Alligator mississippiensis: one gene and its partner. The protein of the gene in region 2 purifies or fractionates together with the protein of the main gene of each other region. This does not show direct contact. Links are inferred from orthologs where the notes say so. Each region holds a gene or a part of one and is shown on either strand. Other genes may lie near its edges.

What was found.
Region 1: the proteins of ARPC1A (region 2) and ARPC4 fractionate together in Homo sapiens (co-fractionation; 7 studies listed by BioGRID and IntAct, with this or other methods). This does not show direct contact. The link is inferred for Alligator mississippiensis from reciprocal best matches to the Homo sapiens genes ARPC1A and ARPC4.

The regions. Positions count from the first base shown.
Region 1 is NC_081835.1:473,062-479,036, reverse strand, and holds ARPC4 (actin-related protein 2/3 complex subunit 4), read right to left. Parts: upstream 2,139-5,975; 5' UTR 2,033-2,138; coding exon 2,030-2,032; intron 1,937-2,029; coding exon 1,818-1,936; intron 1,706-1,817; coding exon 1,594-1,705; intron 1,494-1,593; coding exon 1,398-1,493; intron 1,311-1,397; coding exon 1,140-1,310; intron 599-1,139; coding exon 593-598; 3' UTR 505-592; downstream 1-504. Other genes in the region: TADA3 (transcriptional adapter 3), read left to right, coding at 2,580-2,786, 2,875-3,122, 3,228-3,333, 4,071-4,212, 4,506-4,609, 4,688-4,797, 4,890-5,075, 5,160-5,352. UniProt on the Homo sapiens protein: Actin-binding component of the Arp2/3 complex, a multiprotein complex that mediates actin polymerization upon stimulation by nucleation-promoting factor (NPF).
Region 2 is NC_081836.1:53,602,624-53,609,583, reverse strand, and holds the start of ARPC1A (actin-related protein 2/3 complex subunit 1A), read right to left. Parts: upstream 3,012-6,960; 5' UTR 2,897-3,011; intron 1-2,896. UniProt on the Homo sapiens protein: Probably functions as a component of the Arp2/3 complex which is involved in regulation of actin polymerization and together with an activating nucleation-promoting factor (NPF) mediates the formation of branched actin networks.

The DNA.
Region 1 (5,975 bases), on a different chromosome or scaffold from region 2:
GGTGGAGGGCCCAGCCCCAGCCCGAGAGAGCTGCAGTCCTGCCCTAAAAGCAAAGCAGGCCCCTCTGCTGCTGGGCCAAACCCCTGCAGATGGCACCAGGCGCGGCCTAGCTGCGGCCCGAGCACTAGGGGCAAGGAGCCACATTTGGCAGCTAGCGGGCACCCCCCTTTGCAGAGAGGCCCTGCTGGACGCTGGCAGGGCGGCCAGCAGCTGCCAGCCTCGGGGCAGGAGACACGCATCGCACGTGCTGTCCAGCGCCATAGCAGCCAAAGCTCCCCTCCAACCCCGCGCCCCCACCGCTAGGAGAATCGGAGACGTTACAGCAAATGATTAGTCATTTAAAAAAGAACATGGAGTCGACACAGTCTCAAACAAGCACGGTTTGCTTCAAATATTAACTCCTCCCTCCCTTCCCTGGGGACGATGGAGAATGCAATGTACATTCCACTGGACAGCTCCATAAGATCTGGCTGCTTCTCATCTCTCTTCCCGAGAGCAAGGCCCAGGCTGCGGCCCCCCAGCCTGGCAGGGCGGCTGTGCAGAGACGCAGGAGAGAATGAGAACGTGAAGCCGTGGAGTCCAGCACCATGGTCTAAAACTGGGCAGGGGCGAGAAGAGACAGGCCGTTAATGGCTGCAGGTCTGATTTCCGGCCACACACCGCACAGGGCCAGGTTGGCGCCCTGCCAGCCCCCCTGCGTCTGCACAGCCGAGCCGCCTCAGCCCGAGCGCACGAGGGCGGGATGGAAACAATCAGCGTGGGAAGCCGGCACTGAGGCCCCTCCCACAGCGCAGCAGGCTAGAGACATCCCTTCTCCCCCCGCTGCCTGCCCGAGACGCTCCAACCCACAGCTTCTGCTTTCGCTCCCAACAGGCTGCCGCGGATGTCACCAGCCTCCCTGCAGCGGGTGGGCGGCCTGCCCCAGGTCTCTCGGCCCTGCAGGGGCTGCTGCACCCCCCACCGCTCCCTGCACGGGGAGCCTCAGCCCCCCACGCAGGGGCCAGCGGGCAGGGGCTTCTTCTAACAGGGGGGTCAGACAGCCTAAGCAGGCCGCTCTGCTCCCCTCCACCGAGCCCTCTAACAGAACCGTGCCGCTGCCCCGCACCACGGGCGCCCACCGCCCCGCCTGCGAGCCTCACGTTTTTGAGGAACTCCTCCGCCACAATGCGAGCCCTGGCATTGACGGACAGCTTCATCTCGCTGATCTCCTTGTCGATCTCCTCCATGAAGTGTATCACGAAGTCCACCAGCTTGTGCTTGTACATCTGCTCCGTGTGGAAGTTCGTGATCAGGAAGCTGATGTCGTAGCCCTGGGGGAAGAGGAAGGGGCGAGCGCTCAGCCCTGCTGTGCCCGGGGCCCAGCGGGAAGCGGCCCGGCCCGGCCCGGCGCCCCTCACCTCCACGGCCTTCCTGCGCAGGATGAAGAAGTTCTCGGCTCTCATCATCATGAACCGCATGAACTTGTGGCAGAGGATCTTCTCGATCTCGTCAGCCTGCGGGCAGGCGAGGGGGGGAGCAGGGGGGCGGAGGAAGTCAGGCTCGGCCCCCCCGCCCCGCCCCGCGCCGCCCCCCCGGGCCCCGGCCCCGGCTCACCTGCTTCACGGCGATGCTGACCCGCACCGAGTTGATGGACCCCTCGATCAGCACCTTCTCCTTCTCGTTCCGGCTGATGATCACGGGCTGCAGCAGCAGCTCTTTGCTGCTCCTGGCAGCCGCCCACACGTCAGCCCCGGCCCCGGCCCCCGCCCCCGCCCCCGCCCCGCAACGCCAGCGGCCCCCGGCGCGCCGCCCCCCGGGCCCGGGCCCCGGCCCCGTACCTGACTTCCACCTCGGGCTTGTTGTGCCGCTCCACCACCTGCGACGAGAAGTTCTCCAGGCAGAGCGCGGCCTGCAGCGTGGCGCGCACCGCGCTCAGGTAGGGGCGCAGCGTGGCGGTCTGCGGGCAGCGGGCACGGGTCAGCGCGCCCCGGCCCCCGGCCCCGGCCCCCGCCCCCGCCCCGCTTCCCCGCCCGGCCCGGCCCGGTCCTACCATGGCGGCGCTGACGGCGGCTCCGGTGGGGTCCCGGGAAGCGGAAGCGGAACTAGCGGCGCGGGCGGCTCCTCTGTTCCGGGACGGGCGGCACCGCCCATTGCGCCCCGGGGGCGGGGGGGGGGGGGCGGAGCGCTGCAGGAGCCGCAGCCGGAGCCACCCCCTCACGCGGGAGCAGCGGCCGCGCCGGGGCCGCGACTTCACCTCCGAGGCCGGGGTCCTCTCGCCGCCGCGGCCCCGAGCGCCCTGAGCGCGCGCCCCCGCCAGCGGGATCCGCGCCCCCCCCTCCCCCCGCGCCGCACTTGGTACGGCCCCGCCGCGGCCTCCATATTAGGGAACGGAGAGCGAGCGGGCGGCGCGGCCAATGGGGATCTCCGCGGGGTGCGGCCCAGCCAATGAGGAGCGCGCGGGGCGGGCGCTGACTCTGGCTACGGCGGCCGGAAGGGGCTGAGCGCGGCCGCGGCGCGACCCCGGCGGAGCGCCCCCGCCCCCCGCGCCCGGTGCCGGCGGCGGCCACGTGCGGAGCGCCCGGTGCGCGGCGCCCGGCGCGATGAGCGAGTTGAAGGACTGCCCGCTGCAGTTCCACGACTTCAAGTCGGTGGACCACGGCAAGGTGTGCCCGCGCTACACGGCCGTGCTGGCGCGCTCCGAGGACGACGGCATCGGCATCGAGGAGCTGGACACGCTGCAGCTGGAGCTCGAGACGCTGCTGTCGTCCGCCAGCCGCCGCCTGCGCGTGCTGGAGGCCGAGACCCAGGTGCGGGGGCGGGGCGGGGCGGGGCGGGGCGGGGCAGGGGGGCCGGGCCGGGCCGGGCCGGGGCTGAGCCGCGCCGCGCCGCCCGCAGATCCTGACGGACTGGCAGGACAAGAAGGGGGACCGGCGGTTCCTGAAGCTGAAGGAGCACGACCTGGGCGCCCCGGTCAAGCACGGCAAGCCCAAGAAGCAGAAGCTCGAGGGCAAGGGGGGCCACGGGCCGGGGCCGGGCCCCGGGCGGCCCAAGTCCAAGAACCTGCAGCCCAAGATCCAGGAGTACGAGTTCCCCGACGACCCCGTGGACGTGCCGCGCATCCCCAAGAACGACGCGCCCAACAGGTGCGTGCCCGGCCCCGCCCGCCCGCCTGCCCCGCTCCGCCCTGCCCTGCCCTGCCCTGCCCTGCCCGGCCCCCTCGCAGCACGGCTCTGCCCCTCCCCCCGCAGGTTCTGGAACTCGGTGGAGCCGTACTGCGCCGACCTCACCACCGAGGAGCTGCGCGTGCTGGAGGAGCTGCTCAAGCCGCCCGAGGACGAGGCCGAGCACTACAAGGTGAGCGCCCGCGGGCCCAGCTGCGCCCGGCGCTGCCGCCGAGCTCGCGCCCTGCACGCTGCCCCCGGGCCCGGCCTGGACGGGGACCGCAGCCAGGCGATGCTGAGCCGATCCCGTCCCCCCCACCGCTGTCGGCCCCAGGGACCCTGTCGGGGGCCTGAAAGCCCAATGCGGCGCCAGCCAGGAGGGGGCGTTCTCTGCCCTCGCACCAGGCACCGAGCAGCATCTCGGGCGCCAAAGGACGCCCACGTGTCGCTGCCAGGCAGGGCCAGACAAGCGGTCTCTGCCACCCCGCAGGGCTCCCGGCTCGGCCATCAGCCTCTGGCTGGTTGGCAGCAGCAGAGCACAAGGGAGCGCGGGGCAGGAGTTGGAGGTGATCCTGCAGGGGCTCGGCGCAGGCTCCTGGCGTGGTCGGGCGCATGGGGCAAGGCCAGGGCACCGGAGCAGCCCCTTGTGTCGGCAGCCCAGGGCCAGGCACGGTGCAAAGCTCCGGGTGCGATGGGCGTTCTCAGACTTGACGCAGAGAAGCAGGGACGCTCAAGTGGCCCCTCCCTGAGCCTGCCGATGTGCTGTGAGCCTGGCGCCCTGTGACTTCCTGGAGGCAGGGCCTGCAGCGCTGCAGGAGCCTGGGCGCTGGGCCGTGGGGCTGGGGCACTCCCCTGTGGCCGTGTTCCCCAGGAGGGGACGGCGGCTCGGGGCTCCCCAGCCGCGTGCTGCTCACAAGGCTTCTGTTGCAGATCCCGCCCCTGGGGAAGCACTACTCGCAGCGCTGGGCCCAGGAGGACCTGCTGGAGGAGCAGAAAGACGGCGCCCGCGTGGCTGCAGCTGCGGACAAGAAGAAAGGCGTCCTGGGGCCACTGACCGAGCTGGACACGAAAGGTGCCTCTGGCTCAGCCCTGCATCCCGGCAGCTGGGCACAGGGGCACCTGGTGCGGGGCACGGTCTGGTTCAGCCAGGCCTGGGGAGCACAGATGACCTTTGGGCTCCGGGGCCCTGCCCAGCACGCGGGCACCTTGCTCTGCAGCCTGCCTGGGCACGCTCTACGGGGGGGCAGGTGGGGTGAGGCCTGGGACCAAGAGCCACAGGTGGGAGGGGGGTTCCCTCGCTGCTCAGCTGGCTCGGGGGCCCATCTCCCCAACGCTGCTCATAGCCCCCTCCCCGTCTCCCTGCAGATGTGGACGCACTGCTGAAGAAGTCGGAGGCCCAGCACGAGCAGCCCGAGGATGGCTGCCCCTTCGGCCCCCTGACGCAGCGCCTCCTACAAGCGCTGGTGGAGGTGAGTGGGGCTCCGGGCTGGGCCGTACTTGGCCCCCGCTGCCCAGCGCTGACCCCTGTCTCCACGCTCTGTTGTTAGGAGAACATCATCTCCCCCGTGGAGGACTCCCCGATCCCCGAGATCGTGGGCAAGGACTCGGGGGCTGATGGCGCTGGCACCTCGCCCCGCAGCCAGAACAAGCCCTTCAGGTGAGCAGCCGTGGGGCCCCGCTGCCCTCTTCCCTGCGGCCCGCCTTGAAAGGGCCCGTGGGGTGACAGCAGCCCGCCCTCGTCCCTGGCAGCGTGCCGCACACCAAGTCGCTGGAGGGGCGCATCAAGGAGGAGCTGATCGCACAGGGGCTGCTGGACTCGGAGGACCGCCCGGCCGAGGACGCTGAGGACGAGGTGCTGGCGGAGCTGCGCAAGCGGCAGGCGGAGCTCAAGGCGCTCAGCGCTCACAACCGCGCCAAGAAGCACGACCTGCTCCGGTGGGTACCGCAGGCGGCCTGGGGGCCGGGGCCGGGCCTGGGCCTGGGCCTGGTCTGGTGGGGCTGACGGCTCTGCCCTGGCAGGCTGGCCAAGGAGGAGCTGCACCGGCAGGAGCTGCGGCAGCGCGTGCGCATGGCGGACAACGAGGTCATGGACGCCTTCCGCAAGATCATGGCCGCGCGGCAGAAGAAGCGCACGCCCACCAAGAAGGAGAAGGACCAGGCCTGGAAGACCCTGAAGGAGCGGGAGAGCATCCTCAAGCTACTGGACGGCTAGCGGGGCTCTGGACTTGCCCGCGCCGCCCCGCTGGAGACTGGCTGAGCGCGGGGCCGTGTGCCGGGGGGGGGCCGCGCTCCCTGGGGTCGGGGCTGCGGGGGGGTGGAGGGGCCTTGCTTGCTGCCATGGAGCGGGGCGGCCGGGCCCGCACCCCGGCTGCTTGTCTGCCACGGCCAGGCGGGCGCTGCGCCGCCCTTGCCCTCCCTCTCCCCGGGCGCCTCTTGCTGTGACTCCCCTGCCCCTGGCTGCCCCAGCCCAGCTGGCCCGCGGGGCGGCCGATGTGGGGGCGGCCCCGCGCCCGGGGGTCGCGTTGTGTGCGGCCCGCGCCTGCCCTCAATAAAGCCCGTGCGCGAAGCCTGCGCTGTGTGCGGTGCGGTGCGGTGCGGTGCGGTGAGGGAGGGGGCGGGGGGGGGGCAGTGAGTGGGCCCCGCCCCCCCCGCGCTAATTTTAGCTTGGCCCCGTCTCCAGGCACCCCCGCCGCCGCCCCCCGATTGGCCGCGCCGCGCCAGCCCCGCCCCCTGACGTCACCGGTGGCTGGCCCTGGCGCCGGGGGAGCCGCTGCGCCGGGCGCGGGACCGTGCAGCGCCGAGCACCGCCCGCCCCCCCGGCCCCGCCCGGCCCCG
Region 2 (6,960 bases):
AATTGTAAAGTTAAAACCTTATTTACAACTGTGTCAAAACAGATCCACCAGATAAATGCAACTGAAAAGCGTACTGGTAATCATATAGAAAGCAATTTCAGGGTTAATATATTCCAAACGCACAACTGTCAAAAGCATACAATAAAAACAACCAAAAAGGGCGGCAGATAACATCACAGCAATTTAAGTCACCTGTAATATTCAAAATATGTACACCCAAGTGCCTATGACTGGATTTGCCAGTTCCCTCCATTGTTCGCACATTCCTACTACTTTTCATAGCAATTGCTCTTTGGCTAATGGCTCAGTTCAACCCCCCGCCCCTGCCCAAAATGCATCTAAAAAGAAAAATCCTAGTGATGTCATTGCAAGACTGCTACATCCATTAGAGTCTGAAATGGCAACATACCCAAGTATGGCCATGTTAGCAGAGGGTGGAGACTGTAGGGCAAGGTAGGAATTCAGAAGCAAACAGGAAATGAATGGCAACCCAATAGAAACTTGGGAGTGACTGAAAGATGAGTAAACTTTTTACTGAGTTTAGACATTAAACTTACACTAGTTTAACAAGTGTACTAAAGGTGCTATGGCCTTGAGGCGTAGTCAGAGAGCATTAAAACAATGCAAATATTTTGAAAACAGGTTATTTTCCTAATACTTAAATGCTACATTACCTTGCACTTAGGGAAGCATCGGGTAAATTTACTTCTTAAAAGGGCATTCTGAGGGGAAACAAATTGCTAAAAACTTCATATAAATAAAACGCCAGCTGTAATTTTAACTGCCCCATGATCTTCCTAACATGTTCTTTTACTGTTTGTATTCTAGTATATGAATCTAAACTATTATTAAAGAGGTTTATCCAGTACTACCAAAATAATTAGTGGTGTTATGCCTTCACACTCATTAGCAAGAATCTGAATCACCTCTGACCTTGGGCAACCATGATTTGAGATTCCACTTGTTAATCTAAGCAAAATGTGTTGGCAAATCGCTTTTTTCCAGGTTTTTGTATTAGTGCTCGCTGGTAGCACTACATTTCCATATACAGAAAATGTGGAAAAGCCGTTCCACCAGCAAGGATTGCTCAGCCCTTTTTTATCTTCCCAAAATATAATAGTGCCAAATATATATAAAAAAAATAGCTATTTTTCTATTTCAAACCACTGTTCCTACCATAATCTGATACTTTCATAATACACAGGCCTCGTGTTGGAGAGACACTCCTGTCTTCATAACATCGACTTTATACATTTTACTCATGATCCTTGTGTTTGGTCCTGAAGCTTATGAAAAACGTTCATGACAACTGTTGTTCACCTTAGACAGATCCTCCATATTCAGCACTAACCTAACATATTCTCTTGTTCCCCAAAGGTGGAAGAGAGTTTTGATCCACTCTTCCCAACTGACAGTGTCCCTCCAGGGAATAAATCCTCCTGATGAGCTTATGTTCAAGCTGTCTTCACTTGTATCGAGTGACAGTAGTGTTTGGGAGGGTCATCAAAACAATTCTCAAAAAAGAAAGAAAAAAAAAGAATACCTCCACACCCTGTTCTCATTTGGTATCTGCAATCTCCTTTTCCTGACTTGATTTATTTTTTTACCATCCCCCTGAAAAGTCTTCATGCAATTTTTTAGCTATACTCATCCCTAAGCACTATGCAGCTGTTTCCAGGGCAGCGTTCTCATTCATACCAGCTGATCCCACAACTCCTCAGCGTTACTGACGCGCAGCAAAATTCTCGATCCACGATAACATCCGTGTCAGACAACGCTCTGCCAAAAAAAGCTATTTTCAAGGATACTGCCGTTCCCTAGACACTTCATGCGCTCTATCCCGCAGAGCCGCAACCCTCGATTTCCCCCATTCGTATGCCGGTAGACTTAAGACAAGGCTGCGACTCATTAAGCGCTGTCATGCCCTCATCAGTTAATTTTCTACTAGGATGCTGCTGGTCCCTCGGCGCTCAACACGCCCTGTCCAGCAGCGTCAACGCTCAATTTCCCGGGTTCGCACGCACACGGACTAATACGAAGCCTGCGACTAATTCAGAGCTGTCACAGCAGGTGAGCTCTTTTCCGTCCCCTAGATACTCAACCCACGCTATCCAGCACCGCCACGGCCTCCACGTCCAGCGCTCTTGTGCACGCGGACCACGACCAGACACGCCGCGACGCACGAAGCGCTCTCGTACCCTCACCCAGAGCAGGCGGCTATTTCCCGAAAAAGCTATTTTCCAAAACGCCGCTGTTCCCGCGGCACCCAACACGTGCCGTCCGCCGTGACACAACCCTCGGACTTCACGCGGGCTGCAACTCCTGCAGTGCCGCCGAGCCCTCGCCAGCGATATCCCCAAAACAGGACGTCGCCGCTCCCCGGGCACTCGGGGCGCTCTGCCCAGCAGCGTCGCGGCCCTCCGGGCCCGCATGACGATGACAAGAAAGCTGGAGACTCGCCGCCGTGCCCGTCGCGCCCTCCCCGGGGCGGGGGGCTGGACGCTCGCTCCCGCCGCGCTGATTTCCATCGCCGTGCCGCATTGGGACGAAGACACAGACACGTCCTCCGTCCCCTACACCCACCTGTCTCGTTTGACCCATTTGGCCCCCCCACTCCTCAGGACTCCCCTCCCAAAGGCGACTTGGGGCCCCCCCAGCCCCGCTCCTAAACCCCTTGGGCTAGGAGGGGGTGGGGCTGCACCCCCTCCCACATCCCCACACGGGGGGGAGGGGCTGCACCCCCTGCCCCTCCCCCTCCCGCACCCCAACGCATCCTGCGAGGGGGGAGGGGCTGCACCCCCTGCCCCTCCCCCTCCCGCACCCCCGCGGGGGTTGGGGGAGGGGCGCGAGCCCCCACAGAGGACCCACTGTCGTGAGGGGGGCGGAGGGCGCTTACCTGGTGAGGGAGAGGGGAGGGGAGGGCGGCCCGCGGACTCTGGTCAGTCCACGCGAGGCCGGAGAGGGAGCGGCCGGCAGGGCCCGGCACTGACAAGGGATCCAGGAAACTGCCACTGCGCCTGCGCGGCGGCCAGGAGCCCCTGGGCGCACTGCGCCTGCGCGAGGGAGGCAAGGCGGTGTGGGGGAGGGCTTGGAGATGCCGGGAGTCGCCCCTTCCCCGCCGTGCACATGCGCATAGAAGACGAGCCGTTTTCCGCACTCTCCAGGGGGAAAGGCGAGCAGTGTGGGACTGAGGGAACAGTACGAGCATGCGCAGTACGGGCAGCTTGGAGGCCAGAGTGGAGCCTGCGCAGTGAGGGTAGTGAAGGGAGGGAGTACTGCGCAGGCGCGGGTTGGGGTTGCAAGTGCATTGCTGCTCCTTTGCAAGTTATTGCAGGGGTATTTGGGGCTGGGGAGGAGCAGGGTGCGAGCCCTGGGAGGAGGTGGGCTCCTCAGCGTTGCCCAATCAATGCATCTTTCATTGACCTCTTCCTGGGTTGCAGGTGTGTCACAGCCCTGGCAATGCAGCATGGCCCATGGGCTGCCAGGCTTTGTCCAGAGGAGCACCATGGGGGCCTTGCAGGATGCAGCCCTCACTGCCCAGCACGTAGGCTGCACCCTGAGACAGCACCTGTTACCTTCAGCAGAGCTCAGGCTTTTCTCCAGACTGAAGTCGGTTCCTTATTCCCAGTCCCTTTTTCAAAGCTTGTCTTTACACAGTTAAACTTTGGGAGCAATAATCTACTTCAGCCTCACAGCTGTGACCCTGTTAGCCCTGCACTTGGGGCGGCACACTCCCAGGCACTGGTACAGGCTGGGGACCGACTGGCTAAGCAGCAGCTCTATGGAAAAAGACCTGGGGGTGACAGTGGACAATAAGTTGAATATGAGCCAGCAGTGTGCCCTTGTTGCCAAGAAGGCTAATGGCATACAAGGCTGCATTAGTAGAAGCGTTGTCAGCAGAGCAAAAGAAGTGATTTCCCCCCCCTTCTATTCATCACTAGCAAGGCCACATCTGGAGTCCTGTGTCCAATTTTGGGCCTCCCACTGCAGAGAGGATGTGGACACATTGGCAAGAAATCCAGTGGAAGGCAACAAAAATGGTGTGGGTCTGGGGCACGACTTATGAGGAAAGGCTGAAGGAACTGGGCTTATTTAGTCCGCAGAAGAGAAGACCGAGGAGGGATTTAATAGCAGCCTTCAGCTACCTGAAGGGTGTTTCCAAAGAGGCTGGACCTGGACGGTTCTCAGTGGGGGCAGATGACAGAGCAAGGAGCGATGGGCCCAAGTTGCAGCAAGGGAAATTTAGGATAGATTTTAGAAAAAAAATTCTCACTAGGAGGGTAGTAAACCACTGGAACAGCTCCCCAGGGAGGTGCTGGAATCTCTGTCCTTGAAGGTTTTTAAGACCTGGGTAGACAAAGCTTTGGCTGGGATGAGCTAGGTGGGGCTGGTCCTGCTTTGAGCAGGGGGTTGGACTAGATGTGACTTAAGTCCCTTCCAACCTGAATTTTCTGTGGTTCTATGATTCTAACAAAACTCCGTCTTTCAGGACCTTCTTCCCCTACCTATGCCAAAAGGAAGGGAAGGGGGTTGTGACCTCTGGATTTCTTCTCCAGTTCTTTGTGGGTGAAGCTGCCTCTTTTCATTTGAAAATCCATGATTTAAAGGGTTGTGGTTTTCAAAAGGTGAAGCACTTTTTGATACTGTTTCACTGATAAACACCATCACAGGTGAAGTCCAGTAACACAACCATACAAAAAGGGCTGAGCAGACTGTGCAGAAAATTAAGAGCCACTCTTTGAGATGTGCAATTGCTGCTGCTGTTACTGTCTGGTTATACAACCAGTTTAGTTGTGCAGATTAAAGATATGTAACTAGGTCACATCCCATTACATAATAGGGACGAAATTGCATTTAAATACAGTTTTAGGTTTACAAAATTATTTTCACTGGCAGGCAAGGGTGAAAGCAGCCAAACCAGAAACTCTGTGGGAGTTTAGAGTTTTAAAAGCTCAATAGATGAAGGCTTTGCCTCCAATGAAGATTTGCTGAAAATTGACTGCTGCTTCAGATATGTCACTAGTGCAAAATGGAAATCCTAGTCCAGGCAGGATGGCAGCATTCTTACCATTTTAACATGTCCAGATTTGCTGGGCTGGATTAGATGTTAGTCCTGACTTGTCACTGGCATTTTTACTATAATTGTGCTAACACTGCTGGAATTTCAATAATGCTAGGGCAACACTGTGAGATTTTCAGAAAAAAATGTGAGTGCAGCGGAAGTCTTACTTGAAGGTATTGAGAAATCCAGGTGGGTCTTTTTTTAAATGCAGGCAACTGCAGATTACGTGCAAGCACATGCAATTTTGTAACTGCAAGTACAAAACATGTTTGGATTCGTAAATGGTAATTATATACACGGATAGATATTTGTGGATAAAAATACCTGCCTGCTGGTGTTTTATCGCTTTAGGGACAGTGAAAGAATCACAACATTGGGCATTCTGTAAAAAAAAAAAAATGAGAATACTGCAACATTTAGATGTTTCCAAGATACGTCTGCTGATGACTTCCCTAGAAGGAGCCAGGTGGATTATCATAATTTATTGAAATCCATTTTAAGAATCAATATTGCAGCTGTCTCAATGATCAAGAGCATCCTTATTCGTCTCAAATAGTCACCCTGATTGTTAAAAAGTTGCCGTGTTTGCATTTCTTAACTAATAACTGTCAATTTAAGGCACTCTTCTGCTCCTGTAGTTCTGTAGCAAGCTGACGCTGGGGCCTGTCTAACAGCAGCTGTGCCTTATTCTAATTTCTGTTTATGTGCAGTATATGTGAAGGGGTCATAGCCTACAGTAGGAGACAAGGGCACATAATCCAAATGCTTTTCAGCTTGCTCAGAACTTTACGAAAGTGCTGTCTTCAGGTGTGCACTTTCTTTGCCCTAGCCCCTGTGCAGTCCAGAGCACAATGCCAGGGGTCTGTTGCTGTGTGTAAGATGAGGCCTGCACCAAAGGAAATGGGAGTTGGGATTCTCAACCCCTTCACTGAGCCAAGCCTTTAGTGAGCATCTTTGGAAGCAGATTTAAGGCATGATCCACTGGGTATAAAGTGTCAAATATTCAGCACTATAGCCTTGCTGTTTCTTGAACTTAGCAAGGTTGTGTGCATACCTAATAGCTATATGTATTTCTCCCAGCCATTGGGGATGCTGTGAGCTTGCTCAGTTGGGTGGTTGCTCTGCTTTCCCTGTCTGTCTGCTCTCACCTGGCAAGTGATAGGGAGGGGAGGTGTTGGAAAGAATGAGGGATGCTTCCCCCCGTAACCGTCCCCACAGCCTCTAGACTCCCACCGCTCCCACCCTGCACAGGTCTCACTGCCTTATAACCATCCAAAGCCCCCTGTTGTCATTCTACAAGCAAAAAAAAAAAATCCAGCAGCTTTTCTGAGTTTCTCTTTCATCCAGGAAGCTTTATTAAGACTATGCATTAAGACTATTAGTGTGAACAATTATTTACAAGAGACAGCCCAGGTCACACAGACACTTTACACCTTCCGTCCTTGACATGAAAATGCAAAGTCTGTGTTACAACAGACCCCTTTCCACTGACAGCAAACACGCCTATATGATTTCATGGTGCAGGACATGCAGGGGAAGTCACAGCTTCAAGCTCTCACGGGGTAACACAGAGGTAGGTCTCTCCCCAACAGAGCTGCATACATTCCTTGTTTCCATCCCTCTGTCTGTCTCTTCCCACGTGGGCTTCTCCTTGTTAGCTCTAGCCGGCTGTTTTCATCACTATAATAGCAGTCTTGCGATGGGCAGCTGTTGGGAAGCTGTGTGACACCCTGGAAAGAGACTGGAGTTAGATCAGGTGTGGGCAAAATGCGGCCCGGGGGCTGGATGTGGCTCACCAGGCCATTCTATCCAGCCCGCGGGACCCCTAAAAAAATTAGAAAATTAATATATATCTGCCCCTGGCTACCTATCCTGCGGCCCTCGATGGCTTGCCAAAA